Struthio camelus: one gene and its partner. The protein of the gene in region 2 purifies or fractionates together with the protein of the main gene of each other region. This does not show direct contact. Links are inferred from orthologs where the notes say so. Each region holds a gene or a part of one and is shown on either strand. Other genes may lie near its edges.

Evidence for each region. The genes of interacting proteins can lie anywhere in the genome.
Region 1: the proteins of VDAC2 (region 2) and PHB1 purify together in Homo sapiens (affinity purification with mass spectrometry; 4 studies listed by BioGRID, with this or other methods). This does not show direct contact. The link is inferred for Struthio camelus from reciprocal best matches to the Homo sapiens genes VDAC2 and PHB1.

What each region holds. Positions count from the first base shown.
Region 1 is NC_090966.1:5,144,020-5,152,199, reverse strand, and holds the start of PHB1 (prohibitin 1), read right to left. Parts: upstream 3,067-8,180; 5' UTR 2,980-3,066; exon of another isoform or gene 2,921-2,979; intron 2,521-2,920; 5' UTR 2,483-2,520; coding exon 2,395-2,482; intron 1,998-2,394; coding exon 1,836-1,997; intron 1,075-1,835; coding exon 932-1,074; intron 438-931; coding exon 321-437; intron 1-320.
Region 2 is NC_090948.1:26,043,400-26,051,206, reverse strand, and holds the start of VDAC2 (voltage-dependent anion-selective channel protein 2), read right to left. Parts: upstream 3,011-7,807; 5' UTR 2,918-3,010; intron 2,572-2,917; exon of another isoform or gene 2,372-2,571; intron 2,308-2,371; exon of another isoform or gene 2,210-2,307; intron 1,867-2,209; 5' UTR 1,846-1,866; coding exon 1,812-1,845; intron 1-1,811. UniProt on the Homo sapiens protein: Non-selective voltage-gated ion channel that mediates the transport of anions and cations through the mitochondrion outer membrane and plasma membrane.

The DNA of each region.
Region 1 (8,180 bases), on a different chromosome or scaffold from region 2:
TCTCAAGCAATTTGCAGACTGATCCATCATCCACAGAAAGCATTTGCTCCCTATTTTAACTACAGAAACCTACAATAGTGAGGTCAGCAAGAAGACAGTACAGCTGAGCCTTCAAGGGCTTTCTCAAGGTCACAGAAGGCCAGTGACAAAACCTGACATACTGACTTGAGCTGTAACCACTAAATTACATGCAACTCCAGACAAATAAGCATTTCACCTACGTCTAAAATTCTGTCCCCCTTTGGCCATCCACTGGTTCTGTTCTCCGCTACTCTTATCTGCAAGAAGAGAGAGAAAACCTGAAAAGGGAGAACTCTTACCAGGGACACATCATCTAGAATGAGGCCGAAGGTCGCTGCTCTCTCCGTGAGGTCTTCACTCACTTGCCTTGAGACCAGCTCTCTCTGAGTGATCAATTCTCCAGCATCAAAGCGAGCCTGATATTAGGATGGACAAAAATGAGAACAAAGCTTCCAGAAACAATAGATTTTTCATATTCTGTTTGTCTTTGCACCTGTAAGCCCCAGAGTTAATCCAATTTATCTTCCAAAGCTAGCAAACACTAAGCTACCTGTTCACTAGAACTAGGAGAAAGAATGAATGATTGCAAATTTAAGTGTGAGCTGGAGGGGAGGTTTCCCCCAAAGGGAGAAGCTAACAGCTGAGAACGGGTAACAGAGAAACCTCTTGCTGTCCAGACTACACCCAACTTGAGCCTTAAGTCAAGGCAAGCCGTCAGAACGGCAAAGAAACAAACAGCATAACTACAATTATCAGCTTTTCTGGATAACCCTTTGGAGCCTGGAGAGTGGAAAGAGAAGCTTTAGTCTGGAGTATTAGATATTCCACATGCTAGCAGGTATCTCACTGCAAAAAAAACAAGGACAGAAAGGTGACAGGCAGAGCCCAGCAGCTGTCGTGCTGTCCTTACCACAACAGACTTCAGGATTTCAGTTGTGATTGAAGGCAGGACACGCTCATCATAGTCTTCTCCAATACTTGTGAAAATTCGGGGTAACTGGGCGGTCACTGGTCTAAACAAGATACGCAACGTGATGTTCACGTTCTGTAGATCTGGGGGCAGAGCGGGGGGGGGGGGGGAGGGAGAGAGAGAAGCACAAGTTTAGTGGCAAACTGTGGGGACAAGAGATGTCCTGAAGTTGGCCTTTCCAGGGTAACTAAATGGGAAAGACCACACCCTCAGGCTTCTCTTTGCCGGCAGAGACAAGTTATTTTTACTGTCCCTTTCACCTAGGGATCTAGATCCTTCTTAAAAAGATAAGACTGAAGTTTCAGTTTGCTTCTGATGCAGGGAATTATTTGCCCTCCTGCAGAGGCAGAGATTTTGCATTTAAACGGACAACCTACTAAAACCCTGCAACAAGAAGTTGCTTAATCTGTTCTGTAACTAAAAAGACAGATCAATGACTCTGTGCCAGACTGGACTCAGCACACATAGGACCACCATGTCCAGAAGACAGAACCCTTACTCAGTGATTTTCTGTAAGGTTAAAAGATCACAGAAGTCACGACCATAGTAAAACTTCTTCTCGTGCCCCATCCACCCAACTGCTAACTACAAAGAAATCCAAAAGCAACATCAGAATAAGACACAGGATATAACGAGAGCGCTTGGATCACAGTCTTGCACGATATTCAGATGCACTGCTCTCTCCTCAGGGCTGATAAGCTGCTGAGCATCTTCTCTCTGCCACCTGAGGCAGAGGGAAAGAACACCTCTGAGGCAAAGAACTCAATGTCACGCAGGTCGCTACAGTGGGCACACACTCAGAGTGACACTACTCTGTTACAGTCGCCTGGTCGAGAACACTTACCTTTGCTGCCAGTGATCACGGGAATGTTACGTGGGCGAGATCGACAGTCAAAAATGATCGGTTTCTGTACCCAAGGGATGAGGAAGTGGGTACCTTCTCCTACCACCGTATCCTGGACTCCACGGAATCGGTCAAAGATAACAGCTCTGTGGCCCGCATCAACTAGAATGAAACAGCATGGTTTCACTGTTGTACTTGCACACCATCAGAACATTCTCCATGACAGATATCAACAGTCTGTCAGGATTAATTAAGGCCTTTTGCTGCAGGAGAGTGGTGAAATTAAGTAGATTGCTAGTAGCAACAAAGCAAAAGAGACAACTCAGCCACGACTCGACCTCTCGGCCTGCTTTCAAGGAGAGCATCTCATTGACAGTTTCTAGTGAAGGGACTCCGCAATCCTCTTGCCTACCCAATGCAGAAGGTCAGTATAAACCAGCACAGCAGAGTCTCATGCCTATTTTCCCCTGATGCCACTAATAATAAAGGCACAGAGCAATAAAGACATGGATAAAAAGGATATAAAATGAACGGGAAACACTCTCCCTCTCCCACTCACCATTGTAAAGAGCAGAGTTGACAACTCCACCTGCGACAGCTAACCCCAGGCCAAACTTCCCGATGCTTTCAAACAACTTCGCGGCCATTTCTCACGTCCAGTTCTAGCCCCTTTAGCGAGTCCCTCCTGCAAAAACCCCACAAGCTTGTTAAAAGTGCATGAAGCGAGGAGCCCAGGCAACTCTGTGTCTGCACCTACAGAGCCGAGGATTAACTCCCCCCTCCAAAAAAATCCAACCTGCACCCCCGACCCGACCCCCCCCCCTCCGGGCCTCCCTGCACCCCCAGCCCCCTTACCTCCCGGATCCCTCCCCCCCAGCCCCCCTGCACCCTCCCTGGATCCCTCCCCACAGAGCTTCCCCCACCCCCTCCAGGCCTTCCGCCCCCGGGACAGGCGCCCCTTGGGCCGAGGCCCCCTCACACACCCGCAGGCCGCCGCTCGGCCCCTTCGCACGCCCCACCGCGCCCGCGCCCCGGCCCCGGCCCCGGCCCCGGCCCCGGCCCCGGCCCCGGCCCCGGCGACCCACCGCGCCCGGCCCGGCCCCGGCCCGGCCCAGCCCGCTCTCCCTCCCGCAGCGCCCCTGACCTCCACATGAAGCCGCGGCCACCTGACCCGCCGCGCCTGCGCGTCGCGCCAAGACGTCCGCTTCTCATTGGCCCGCTCCGGACCTCGGCATTCTGGGAAGTGTAGTTTTCGCCGCCCCCGCTCCCGGGAGGCCGTGCGGGAAGGCCTACAACTCCCGGCGAGCCCCGCTCCGCCTCGCTGGCTGTGTAAAGCCGCTCTCCATTGGCCCCGGCGCTCCCGCCGTGCGCAAGGCGTTCTGGGAGCTGTAGTCCTGGCCGGGGTAGAGGGGGCGCACGTCGGGGCTGGCGCATGGGGGAACCGGGGTGGGGGGGAAGGGGGATCCCGGCATCCCGCCACCGGCTCAGGCAGCCCCAGGGCAGCTGCCGCCCCCCGGCTCGGCTGCGCCCCCCCCCCCACCCCGGCCCTTTGTGGGCAGACCCCTGCCATACGCTCAGTCCGCTGGAGCGGGAGAGGCCGGGCAGCCGCCAGCGTCCAGCCCGGGCTCCCCACGGACGGGGCGGGGGTGCCGGAGCGGGGGGACAGAGGCGCCTTGCGGCCGAGGCGGGAGCCGGGGGCCGCTAGAGGGAAGCAGCGCTCTGCCATCGGCTCCGCCAACCGGGCTGAGGGGGGGGGAAAAAGAGAGGGGACCCCCCCCACCCCCCCCCCGCTTCCCAGGCAGACCCCAAAACAGCCGCCTTCCCCCGCCTGGAAACCCCCGGCCGGTTTCGCCTTTAACGCGACGCCGCTGAGCACGGGGGACTTCGTTACCCCCGGCGGGCGCCGGCGGGCACGGCCGCACCCGGGAGAGAAAACCGCTGCTTAAACCCCGCTTTCTCCCCGACGCCCTGCGGGAGCGGCGGGTCACCCCGGGGTGGCGGGGGGCGGACGGGACGTGAGGATGGCCCCGGCGCTGCGACGGCCGCTTTCCGCCGACGGACGGGGCCCGGCTTTGCCCGGCACGGCCGCGGCAGCGAGCTCGCAAACCCGGCCGGCACGGCTCTTTTGTGCCTCGACAGCCCTGGGAAGCGGAAAGCCAGGAGGAAGAGGAAGAGGCGAAGGTGTCTGGGGACCCGGCAATTTTGGACCCCATCCAAAATGATTTGGGAGCCAGATCCCGGCACCCCTCTTCCCTAGGTGCCGTAAGGCTGAATTTTGGCTGCTCCTAACCCGCTCTTGGCTGCATGCCTCCCTCGAGGAATAAATCCCGGGAGCATCCGCCTCTGCCTGCGCCACGGGAACAACGTCCGCCGGGGCCGGGGCCGGCTCGGGTGCCTCTTCCGCCGGCGCGTCCCCGAAGGACGAAGCTGCCCCAGGAGGCGTCTCTCCGCTTGCAGCTAATCCCGTAACAACATCCTAATTGGTGATAAAGCCACGGCTATAAACACCCAGGGATTTACACCCTTCCCGCGTAAGATTCGCACACGGGGCACGGTCGCTACGGCAGGGCTGCGCGGACGCGGCGGCCGGAGGTCTGCAGCCCTCCCGGCTCAGCCCCTCTTCCGCACCGCGCGGCCGCCGGCGCGGGCCCGTTCGTTGCCGCCGTTTGTGCAGCTTCGGCCCCTGTCCCGCGCCGCGGGAAACTGTCTCGGCCCCTCTCCCGCGCCGACGCGCAGCGCCCGCCGCTCTCCTCCCACCGCCGCTGGGGCGGGAGCCGGTGACACCCGCCAGGGAGAGGGTTTTGGGAGCCCTTGTGCTTTCTGCGCTGCCCGGGCCGGGGCGGTGGGAGAAAAAAGGGCCTTTTGTGCAGGGAATATCCCGAGGGTGATTCAGCCAGGCCTGACGCTGGCGGGGCCCGCTGACACATCGCTTTGTGGCCGGGCAGGGGGGGCCGCGGCTCGTCCCCGGGCGCCGACACCGTCCCCGGCTCCAGGCAGGGGACGCAGCCGGCGGGGAGGGGGGGGGTCGCCCCGCCGGGGTGGCAGGGGCAGGTTGAGCGGAGGAAAATCAACCCCACGACAGCCCCGGCCGGAGCCGCAGGCTCAGGCGGAAGCGCGTTTCGAGCTGCGCCGGCTCGGCCTCGAGACGAGGAGCGAAACTAGTGTGTTTTCGCCCGAGGACGGAGGTGGGCGCCCAGTGATGGAGCAGGGCGAACGGAGCTGGAGCGGTGGGGGACGACACCTTCCTCGCCGCCGTCCCCGGAGCTCAGCCGCGTGCTTTGCCGCCCCGCGGGAGGCTGCTCCCCCAGGACCCTTGATCCTGGCTCAGAAGAAAAAGGAAATTTGGGTGGTGGGTGGTGGCGGGGGACCGTTAAGTGCCAATTCCTGCCCGGGGACGTGGAATCGCGGCGGGCCGGAGCAGTAGGGTGGCATCACCCCTTGTCGCTCCCAAACCGGGGCGCAGAAGCGACGCGCGAGCCCCACAAAAACCCTTCACGACGGCCCTTCGGCCAGCTCGAAGCTGCTTTTCCGGGAGCAGACGGTGCTGAGAAAACGAATCCCCCCCCCGGCGCTTTCCGGCCGGGAGCGACCACACGAATCCCGGGCAGGTTTTCATCTTCGCCTCGATCACAGCTTGTTTCCCCCGTCTCCTCCTGCCTCTCCAAAAGACCCCTTGAAAAAGCAGCGGCCGGCCGCGCTCCGGGCGCTCACAATGGGATTTCAGAGCGCCGGGGCCGGCCGCGTTTCGGAGCCGACATTCCTCCACGAGACAAAAACCCTCGGCGGACCCAAGCGCCGGCCTCGGCGGCAAGAAGCGGCTCTTTGTCCTGGGGCGGTGAGGCCGGGGCCGGGCAGCCGGCGCTCGCTCCGGCCGCGGCGGCCAGCGCCGCGAACAAAAAGCCTCCTTTTCTCCAGCCCTCCCAAATCCGGCGTCGCGGGGCTGGCGCTGCCCTGAGCGCACCCGGGAAAAATTTATGGCATGGCATTTGCCAACCGGGGAGAATCGGAGCGACCCCGGCGCTGCGCTTCCCGGCCGCTCCGCTATGCAGACGGGCATTGAGCTGCCGGCGCGTCCCAGCCGCCGCGCTCCCCAAAAACGGCTGTTTGACTCGGCGTCCTGCCGACGTCCAGCTCTGGCCCCATCCGTCCGACGAACCCCTTTGGCCGCTATTTTCCCGAGTGGCTTCCTGCGGCCGGGCAGCGAGAGCGGCGTAACCAGCTGCTGCGCGCGGCTGCCGCGTGAGCATCGCCGCCGAAAGGCTGGTGAGGGTCGGGCTCGACCCGCGCGGGCCGGGAACCCGCGGAGCAGAGAGCGCGTATGCGTTTTCGCTTGGCCGGAAAAGCTTCTTTCCTTCCTCGTTCAGCTTTGCAGGAATAGCGCGTTCCCGGCGCAGGCTGCCTTTCAGCATACATCTGTTCCGAAACGGGCGTCAAGCGGACGACGTGCTTTTCACAGAAATGCCGTTTTCCCCACCTAAAAACCGTGCGTGGTTTGCACAGCAAATCTGCATCTCTCGGCAGAGCGAGAGCATCCTCGCGGCCCCCCCGCAGGACCCGGGCTGGCTCCTCCGTCGCCGCACGGCCGCCGGCCGCGCCGGGAAACGGCTCCCACCTCCGCCGGCCGCTCGGGGACCGAGCCCGAACTGGCCGCGTAAACCGGTTCATCCGAACAAGCGCTGAAATCAAATTAGTTAAACTACGTTAAAGCCCTGCGAGGACACGGTGCAGAGCGCAAACGGCCTTAATGTGATTTCGGCTGGCTTCGCGGCCACAATTTGCAAGTCAGAGAAATCGAATTAAGGCCGCTTGCGTTCTCGGCTGTGTCCACACAGGGCCTTAATGCGGTTTAATTAATCTGCTTTAAAATTGCGCCTGTCTTTCATTTGGGCCAATTTACCCGGCTCGCCCTGGATAACGGAGCCCCCCCGCCGGGCCAAGAGCCATTAGCCCTGGGGCAGATTTGGGGTACGGCCCCAGGCTGGAAGGTGCTGGGGTCCGCGATGCTGAGCCCCAGCCGTGGGCTTGCTGCCACCCTGAGCGGCTCCCGTGCCCCGCGCTGGGGTCCTGTGCCCCGCACCGGGGTCCTGCACTGGGGTCCTGCACTGGGGTCCTGCGCTCCGTGCTGGGGTCCTGCACCAGGGGCCTGTGCCCCACACCGGGGTCCTGCGCCCCTCACCGGGGTCCTGCACACCATGCTGGGGTCCTGCACCAAGGTCCTGTGCCCCGTGCTGGGGTCCTGCACCCCATGCTGGGGTCCTGCATCGGGGTCCTGCGCCCCTTGTGGGGGACCTGTGCCCCGTGCTGGGGACCCACACTGAGGTCCTGCGCCCTGTGCTGGGGTCCCATGCCCTGTGCTGGGGTCCCGCACTGGGGTCCTGTGCCCCACACTGGGGTCGTGAGGCCTGTGCCAGGGTCCCGTGCCCCATGCTGGGGTCCTGCATCCCATGCCGGGGTCCTGCACCCCGCACCAGGGTCCTGCACGCCATGCCAGGGTCCTGCACCCTGCACTGGAGTCCTGCACCCACACTGGGGTCCTGCACCGGGGTCCTGCACCCCACGCCAGGGTCCTGCACACCACGCCAGGGTCCTGCACCCCACGCTGGGGTCCTGCACCGGGGTCCTGCACCCCACGCCAGGGTCCTGCACCGGGGTCCTGCGCCCCATGCCGGGGTCCCGCACCCGCCGCGATGCTCCAGGGCGACAGGGCCCCGCAGCACCTGCCTCGCGGCTGCTCTGCTCCTCGGCCTTAACGCCGCTGCCAGATCGCTATCTGCGCTTAACCGAGTTTCCTCCTCCGCGGCGGAGCGCGGCGGCTGGAGCTGGCTGCCGACCGCCCTGCGGCTCGGCTCCTGGGACGGCTCTCGGCGGCTGGGAATTGCCGGCCGGCAGCTCGGCGGAGGCTGGCGCTGGGCGAGGGAGGACCCAACCTTTGGGTGCCCCCGAGGGGCGCCCCGGATCCCCTGGACCCCTTGAACGTCCAGCCGCTTCCCCTCGGGGCAGCTTTGGGGATGGCCTTGGGGTGAGCTGAAGCCGAAACCTCAAGTTTGCAGGAGAGCTGTCAGCTTCACGTTCCTGCTTTCTGGGACTGCAGGAAACATCCGCCTGCCCCGGGGGGTTTTGGAAACCCCCCCCCCCCTTTTATTGAAGGGCAGCCTCACCGGTGCAAAGCCTGGGGCTGCTCGGACCCGCGGGCACCCAGCGGGGCGCCGGAGCAGCCGGCTCGTGCCGCGAGCTCGGGGCTCTGCTCCCCTCCTGCCTTTGCTCTCCGAAGGTCGGCTCCCGTTTCCTCTCCAAAGGTAAAAACGACATCACCGCTAAAGGAGCTGCAATTAAAAGAAAGCTAAT
Region 2 (7,807 bases):
CCTCACCTTCCTAAAACATAAGAGGCCCATCCAAGCCCAGCTTAGCCTACACATTTACACCTATGCATTTACAGTTTAGCTTTAAAAAAATAACCATTCTTTAGTAAGGCACTCTAAGCTCTACAACCAGGTCACCATAGCAAGACATCTAGCTCTTGCTGGAGATTACAAAACAAGTTTGCTTTTGCATGGAGTTAAAGTAAACCTGCCCCACTCTGAAAAAAAAGGTAAAGCGCTTAAAGGTTAAAATGGTGTAGCCCAAGTCAAAGTTTATTACATTACAATAAATTACATAAGCCTCAGGAAGAGAAGATTCTATGGCAGAACAATTATCAATCTCAGCAACAAGTCAGAAAACGCTTCCTATTACTTATGCAATAAAAAAGCAGGTGTTATTCAGACCAAATTCCAAGGAAGTGTGGGACACTGCTATTTCCTCACTCTACATTTCTGCTATACAGCAGCTGAATAATTCATTAGTAGTTTAGGTAATTTAGAAAAAGTTTAGCTATGTATTTTTCTCTAGTAAGTGGGTCTTTCCTTTAACTACCATCTCTAGAAGAAAAACTATTTCTAGTTGTAAAGTTTTGTAATAGCCTCTAGCACAAACGTATTTTGACAGTTAAAATAAATGAGCCTTCTGCTTTCGTTTTAAACACTGTTTCCCATCTGAGTAGACAAACCACCAAAGACAAGAGATTTATGCTAAGCAACAATGTCCTGGGAAGTGAGTAAACTGGCATCTGTGTCTAAACTGAAAGGATTACTAGAGCAAAAGGATAGTGCTGCTTTATCTGGCCTAGTTAAGCATCCTTCCCATTGCAAGGAAACTGACAAATGTTTGCCTGACATTCCAGCCTACAGACAAGTGCAAGATGCGTGATAAAAAAGAGTTAAAACAACTTTCACACTGCTGTTCTAGTCCTATGCTAGCAGGAACAGAATATACAAAAGGGCAAGCCGTAAGTTAATTTTGGCTTTGCACAATATCTGATAAGCCAACGTCATCAGCAGAAAAGCCTATTAAATTAAAAAAGGGCAAAAAATTTTTCCCATTTCCTCCACTGTTGGTAGGTTAGCTAGGTTTGTAAATTCTTACAATCAGAGATAGCTTTCTTCAACCCTATTTTGAATTGCCTTTCACTTAAAAGGTGATTAGAAGTGCTTAAAATAGAGATAACATACAATGACAAGAAGTTTGTTGTGACAGCAACTATCTATATCAGATAATCTTCTTCCTCATTTCAAAAACATAGAAAGTAATTAATTCAACTGGGATCTTCATCCTGACCTTTGCTTTATCCCTCTTTTCACACAACCCTAAAAAAAATGTTGAATTACATCTGTTATTCAAGAGCTCCAAGAATGATTTCTTCTTCTGTTAGAGAAAAAAAATTAATCTAACAAAAAAAAAAAGCGTATAAACGTTGTCAGAATTATTACATCACCTCTTTCCCTCGAGGTACTATTTCAAAACTCTTCTACATCTTGTAACTAAACGAATTCCAAGAATTTCTCTACAGATTTCTAACAACTTTAAGACCTCAGGATATTAAAGATCAGGCTGAAGGGCATATTTAAAATAAAGAAATAAATATCCTTGCAGCTTTAAAAATTCTTGGCAATAACTACATTAAAATTGTATTCCAATATTGCAATCAGCATGGAGAAGTAGATTCAAAAATATATTTGGTTAAAAAAAATATATATATATATTTATATATATAGGGCATGACACTGACCTTTAAACTTCTAGTACTACTAAAGCTTAAAGAACTCATTACCCTTGCTTCAACTGTCTCCCTACTTACGTCTCGGAGGCGGACATGCTGGAGAAATAGTCATGGCTAGGCCAATTTAGAGAATCTACGGAGAGGGGGGGAAAAAAACGAAACATCCAGAGATGAACTAGGTGTTCAGAAACCGAAAGCAGGGGGAGAGCGGGGCCTCCCCGGGCCGCCGGACACCGCGTGGGGAGAACGGGCGGCCCCCCCCGGGCGCGGCGGGAGACGGGCGCCCTCGCCGGCGGCAGCACCCAGCGCCCAGCGCCCGCCCGGCCCGGCGCCAGGGCCAGGGCCGAGGCGCCCGCGGCGCCGCAAGGTGAACTCCTCGGCGCGGCCATCTTGGGCATCCCGGCCCGGCCCGGCCCGCGCGCCCTCCCGCCGCCCTTCCTGCAACCGCCGGCGCCGCGCAGCCCGCGGGAGCCCACCCGAGGCAGAGGGAAGCGCGTGGAAACGTGCCGAGAACCGGCCCCCACCCCCCGGCCTCCGCCTCGCCGCCCTCCCGGGCGGCGGCACTGAGGGGCGCCGAGCAGGGCCCCGCCGCCGCCCGCGCCCCCTCGCCCGCCCGCCCCTGCGGCCCAGGCCGGCACCTGGCTAGGGCGGGCGGGCGGGCGGAGCGGAGCGGGGCCGGGGCCGGGGCCGCGGGCGGGCGTCGCCGTGAGGAGGCCGCGCTGCTGCAGCCGCTGGCACTGGAGGGCGAAGTGAAGGAGACACCGATGCGCCCGCCCGCCGCCGCGCAGGACCCCAACGAGCCGGGGCCGCCCCGCCGGCCGCCTCCCCGCCGCGCCACACCCCGCGCCGCCGCCCGGCCGGCCGCCGCCGCCGCCACCAGCCGGGAGGCGCCGGGCGCTGCGGGAGACGCCGTGGACCCGGGCGAGAAGCTGGGCGGCGGCGCCGCGGCTCGACAGGCGCTCGGCGGGGCAGCCCCGGCGGCGGGGCGGGGTCCTGCGGCGGCGCGGGGCCCGGCGGGGGGCGGGGCGGGGCGGCGGTTGCCCGCTGCTGTCGGCGGAGGCCGCGACAGCCGGCGGGGCGCTCCCTCGAGCAAGGGCCGCCACCCCTTTCCTGCCAGCTTGCGTTCGCGCTGGTTGCCCAAGCCGCCCCCCCCCCAAAAAGAACGCCCCCGCCCTGCACCCCACCGCGTAGGTCGGACCCTTGGGAAACCTCTTCAGGCGGTGGCTGCTGCCGCCGTGGGGAGGAGCCGCTGGCGGGAAGGGCCCGCTGGCTGCGGTGCGGCAGCCGGCACGCAGCCCGCAGCGGAAGTCACCAAGTCACCAGGGCAAATGGTTGCTCAGCCAGGAAACCCTGGTAGAGGCATCCTCACGATTTCTAGTTCACCTCTGCGTAGTTGGTTTCTTAATCAACATTTCCTCAAAGGTAGTAAAAAATGTGTTTACAAATACAAATTACAGCGGCACAATACGAAGAATATATTCAAGACCAGTGGTTTAGTAGAATACATGGTACAAAGTTAACTTTCCAGCTTACTAGCAGCAGATAAAACCTCCACAGTTTAGCAGTAAGGCCCAACATGATGCCAGCCGGTATCTGTTAGCTATATCAGAAGATAAGCATCCCTCTTTTTTTCCTGTGTGCAAGTCCAGTACTTTCACAACAGAAGACCCAACAGGTTAATACAGATAATTTTGAATAGGAGAGCTTGGCATGACACAGAGAAATGTGTCTTGATGAATTAAGAAGAAAACCACATGCTGAGAGGATAAACAGCAATAGGAGACAATGGCAACTAGCACATCTGAATGTGCATTGGAACATACATTAGGAGTAAACAGAGATCCGATTAAGTAAAGATGGATTGTGGGCATAAGTTGTTCATTATTTAAAGACATGTATTTATTATTCATACCCAGTGTAAAAATTCATTTCTGAATAGAGATTTAGTTACTTACACAAGATTTCAGTTGGCTTTTTTTTTCCCTCCTCTCTCCTTTAAGAGGAAGATTTTAGTCATGGTTTCACTTTATTTTTTAGCAATCCAGGAAAGCACCAAGTACTCCACCCTGAGTGAAAACTAATGAATCACTTTCTTTACAGAACAAACTACAGACATGGTCTGTACAGTAGTGCATGAACATCTCTATATTAACATGCTTGGCTCCTGCAGATACAATTTCCATCTCCCTTTCCTTTTCACTCTCATTCTCCCCATTCTTCATGCTTACAACGATCCCTTATTTCCTACAGCACATTTTCTAAACCGCAGAGAGCCAAGTCTTCGGGCCTACAATAGCTATCCATCAAAATTACTCTGGATCTTTCTTCTTAGCATCCACCTCAGGGCCTGGGCCACTTTCTTCTCCTAACGTTCAGCGCACACACGTCCTATGCGTGCGCGCCCGCTCTGAATGAGCTGGTTTCCACTCTGAACCAAGTATCACACTTGTCTGAGCCAGTCAGCCATTTCCTCCCACTCGTAGTTTAACTATGTCTGCTTTGCTTGAATACAGGCATGAGTATGCATGACTGACATCAGTGAATCATACGGTTTGCTGGTTTCACTTGGAGGAAAAAAAAAAAAAAAACCTGAATCACTTTAACATTTAAACACAATCTGATGTGTATGTTCTTGTAGTAAACTTCCAAACTCTACTTATCTATGTAGTGTAGTCATGATTACTTGATAAAGAAACATATGTGACCAACCAAAAGAGAGCAAGTGACTGGAGTCTGTATCAGTTTCCAATTAAACAGGTTCAATAAGTTCATGTTCACTTCTAACTCAAACCTGAAGTTATTGTTTGCCCTCCTCTCAAGATAGAGGCCTTCACACATTAGAAACCGAGCAGAAAAAGAGACCTTAAAGAAAGCCATCGAATGAACAAGTAAACTGAGACTTTTCGTTTCAGAAGTGAATTGGCTGAGGGAGTATGAAAGGCATTGTAAAAGTATAACCAGCAGGGAAAGGGTGGAAAGCAGCTGAAGCTGGCAGGGAGCAAGTTTCAGCAAAGCAGGTGTCCTCCTAACCAATGGAGAGTTAAGCTGTGGCATTCCTTGCCACAAGATGTTCAACATTTGAACGGGCTCCCAGGGGAACGAGACAAGTTTGTGGAGGAGAAGCCCGTGAAGGATTACCAACTACAAATCTGCTGAGCCATTACATACAGCTGTGCAATCCCTCCCAAGTCAGAAAAACCACTGAGGTGCAAATAGAGATGTCATTTCAGCTCACTCTCTTCTTATGCTCTTACTTAGGCGTTCATTGGCAACGATATTGGGCTGACTATGCTTTTTGTTTCATAAGGTGCAACCACTCTCAAATAAACCAGGCACGTGAAAAGCCGTAAGAGGGGACCCAGGAAGGGTCCACGCTTTCAGGGTACCTGAAGGGCTCATCCACTACAGACTTGATGCCTTGTAATTTTTTTTCTCTCAACAGTTTTAAAGTAGCCTTACTTCAGTTTAGGTTAAATAATTAGGATGAAGTTTAACTGAAGCCAACTTTTAAGATACGCTTAAAACAACACACACAGAAGCCCTCACCTTTAAATAAGCTGCACAGATTCATACCTAGGTAATTCCTCATCTCAGAGGCGCACCATTGAATGTTATTAAGCCTGCAATTTTATTGCTGAGAAGGCAAGCAGAAGGCAAGCTTGGGAAGCCAATAAAAGAACCAAGTTGTTTACAGGCCCTATGGAGACTAACGGAGGCACAGAGCTCCTTGCACCTACATAGTTCATCAAAGCTGGTTGCCCAGAGCTCTACAGCCAAAGCAAACTAAAATCCAGCCCTTGCTGTTAGGGCCTGTGGCGATGCTGTGCACTCTACTAGCATACTCTCAGCGTTAAACTATCATATCCCCCAATAAAAAATAAGAGGAATAGTGAAAAAAATTCTGTTAAAGAAAAAGGAGAAACTCAAATGAAAACTAACCCATGCAGAGAAGCCTGTACTTATTCCTTCTTTTGGATTTGTGTTTGGCTATTTGCAAATTCTCTCCCTTTCTTCTTCTTCTTCTTCTTTTTGTTGCAGTTTCCATTTCCTCTGGATTTTTTACCTCCTGTAGCTCAAGGAAAAAGCAGCTTTCTAACAAAGCTAGGTACAACTGCCTGACAGACCTGCAAACCACCAGGCTTTCTAACATCCTAAAATGAGTAAATTAATAGGCTTCATTCTGTGGAGGTGATACCTCCTGGAAAGGGAGGGGCAATTGGAGTTTTTTGCATAAAAGGATTAGGACATTATCTCAGCAGCCAGTAAGAGCTTTCAAATAATTAAATGCTGATTTGTAAGTGAAACAACCATTCTTGTAAAACTCATTGGAAAAACCCAGAGAGAGATGCCCAGTGTTCCCAAATCACTTAAGTGGATCAATAGATTTGACTGATTGGTGCAGCAGTTGTCACCTGAAGTAAACTCATTTCTGCTGTGTTATTAACATTTCCCCTTTCATTTCTGATCAAGCTTTCTATCCCCTGACCTTACTACTGTTTGCTTTGCAAATGTTTGTGTCTGATATCACACAGAAGATGTTTTTCCCCGTTTTATACCCCAGAGAAAGCTGGAATCAAAGACAGGACCAAAGCATGGATTTTTTGCTTTTCAGTCCTATATTTAGAACATACCTCTCATACACCATTACACTTAGCCATTTCAATCATCTGTATGCCATAGAAGATTCTTACCGTTTGTGACTGCACATCCTATTACCACATAGTAATAGCAGTTGGACAGGTAAAGCTAAACTTGCTAATGAATTTTTATCAAGCTTTGATTTGTATGCTGGAAAATGCCCGTAATTAAAAAAATAAATAAATAAAGAAAGAAAAGTAGGCAGTGGCTTCTTTCTGAAAGACTTAGGCCAGGCTAGCTTTGATGTGGAAAATACTTCATGGCATGAAAATACTCAGGTGAACAAAATGACACCATAACTACTCCTATGACTTGAGCAAACGTATGAAAGAGCTTCAGCAGGTTTAAAGCAGTGAAATTTAAGCTAATCCAAGATAATGATTATCTCTAAATTCCACCATAGACCTGAGGAGGAAAAAAACACAGCCATATCTTGGAGTAAAACAGAAACATTTATTTTTTTACATTGTCATGAACTAAAAACCCAATCAATAAACATTGAAGCCTGTGGCAGAATATGAGAAAATACTAGGTGTCTAACACAAATAAAGGGTAATCTTTACCATGTTATGCCTTGCATTAAGTACTAGGACACCTACAGTTGCACCCAAGAGATTCCTTCAACTCAACACCCTGCCAGGTGAAGACCTGCAGCTGGGAGCAAATAGCATCTCTGTAAATCCCTGACAAGCCCAGACCAGAAGGAGCGGCCCAGAGTTTAAAACAAGGAGAGGGGAAAAAATGAGGAGTGGTATCTGGGTTTCTTGCTACCAGAAACTAATGACTGGGCAGCAAATCCCATGAGGAACCAGGCAACAGAGACAGAGGTCACATAAAGCCGATTAATCTGCAAGCAGCTAGAGTTATGCCAGAGCAATCCAACACAGCTCGTTATCCAGGAGAAAAGGCTTATCTTGACAGAACAAATCTGTTGGAAAGTTTATGAGAAGTGACTTATCTACAGATTTATTTTGCCTATTCTCATGTTACCAAATGCAAAAGTGGTGAAGGAAAACCGACTCCACCTAGATGGTTTCCTTGGAAAGCTGCGTACACCACATCCGCACGTGGAATGGGCATGTAGAAGAGCTTGTCTGGCACTGTTGCACGTTTGCTTTAAAATGTATACCCAGCATTTATAACACAGATGCTGAGCAACTTGTAGAAAAGTAAAGCATAAAGACAAATATTAGAACAACACTGAAGAGTTTAAGGATACCAGAAACTGGACAAAGGCACACAACAGTTTTATTAGAGCCACAAAGAGCTCCATCACTCGGAGCTGGGAGCAGACAGAAAGGATGGTGTTCCTTGTAGTGATAAGCTAATCTGGATAATCTGGCCATCCACAAGCACGCGCCACACGAACGCTGATGCTTGGATCCTGTCACTGCTGCATCCGTTTCACTGCAGATTCCATTATAGTAACAAAATAA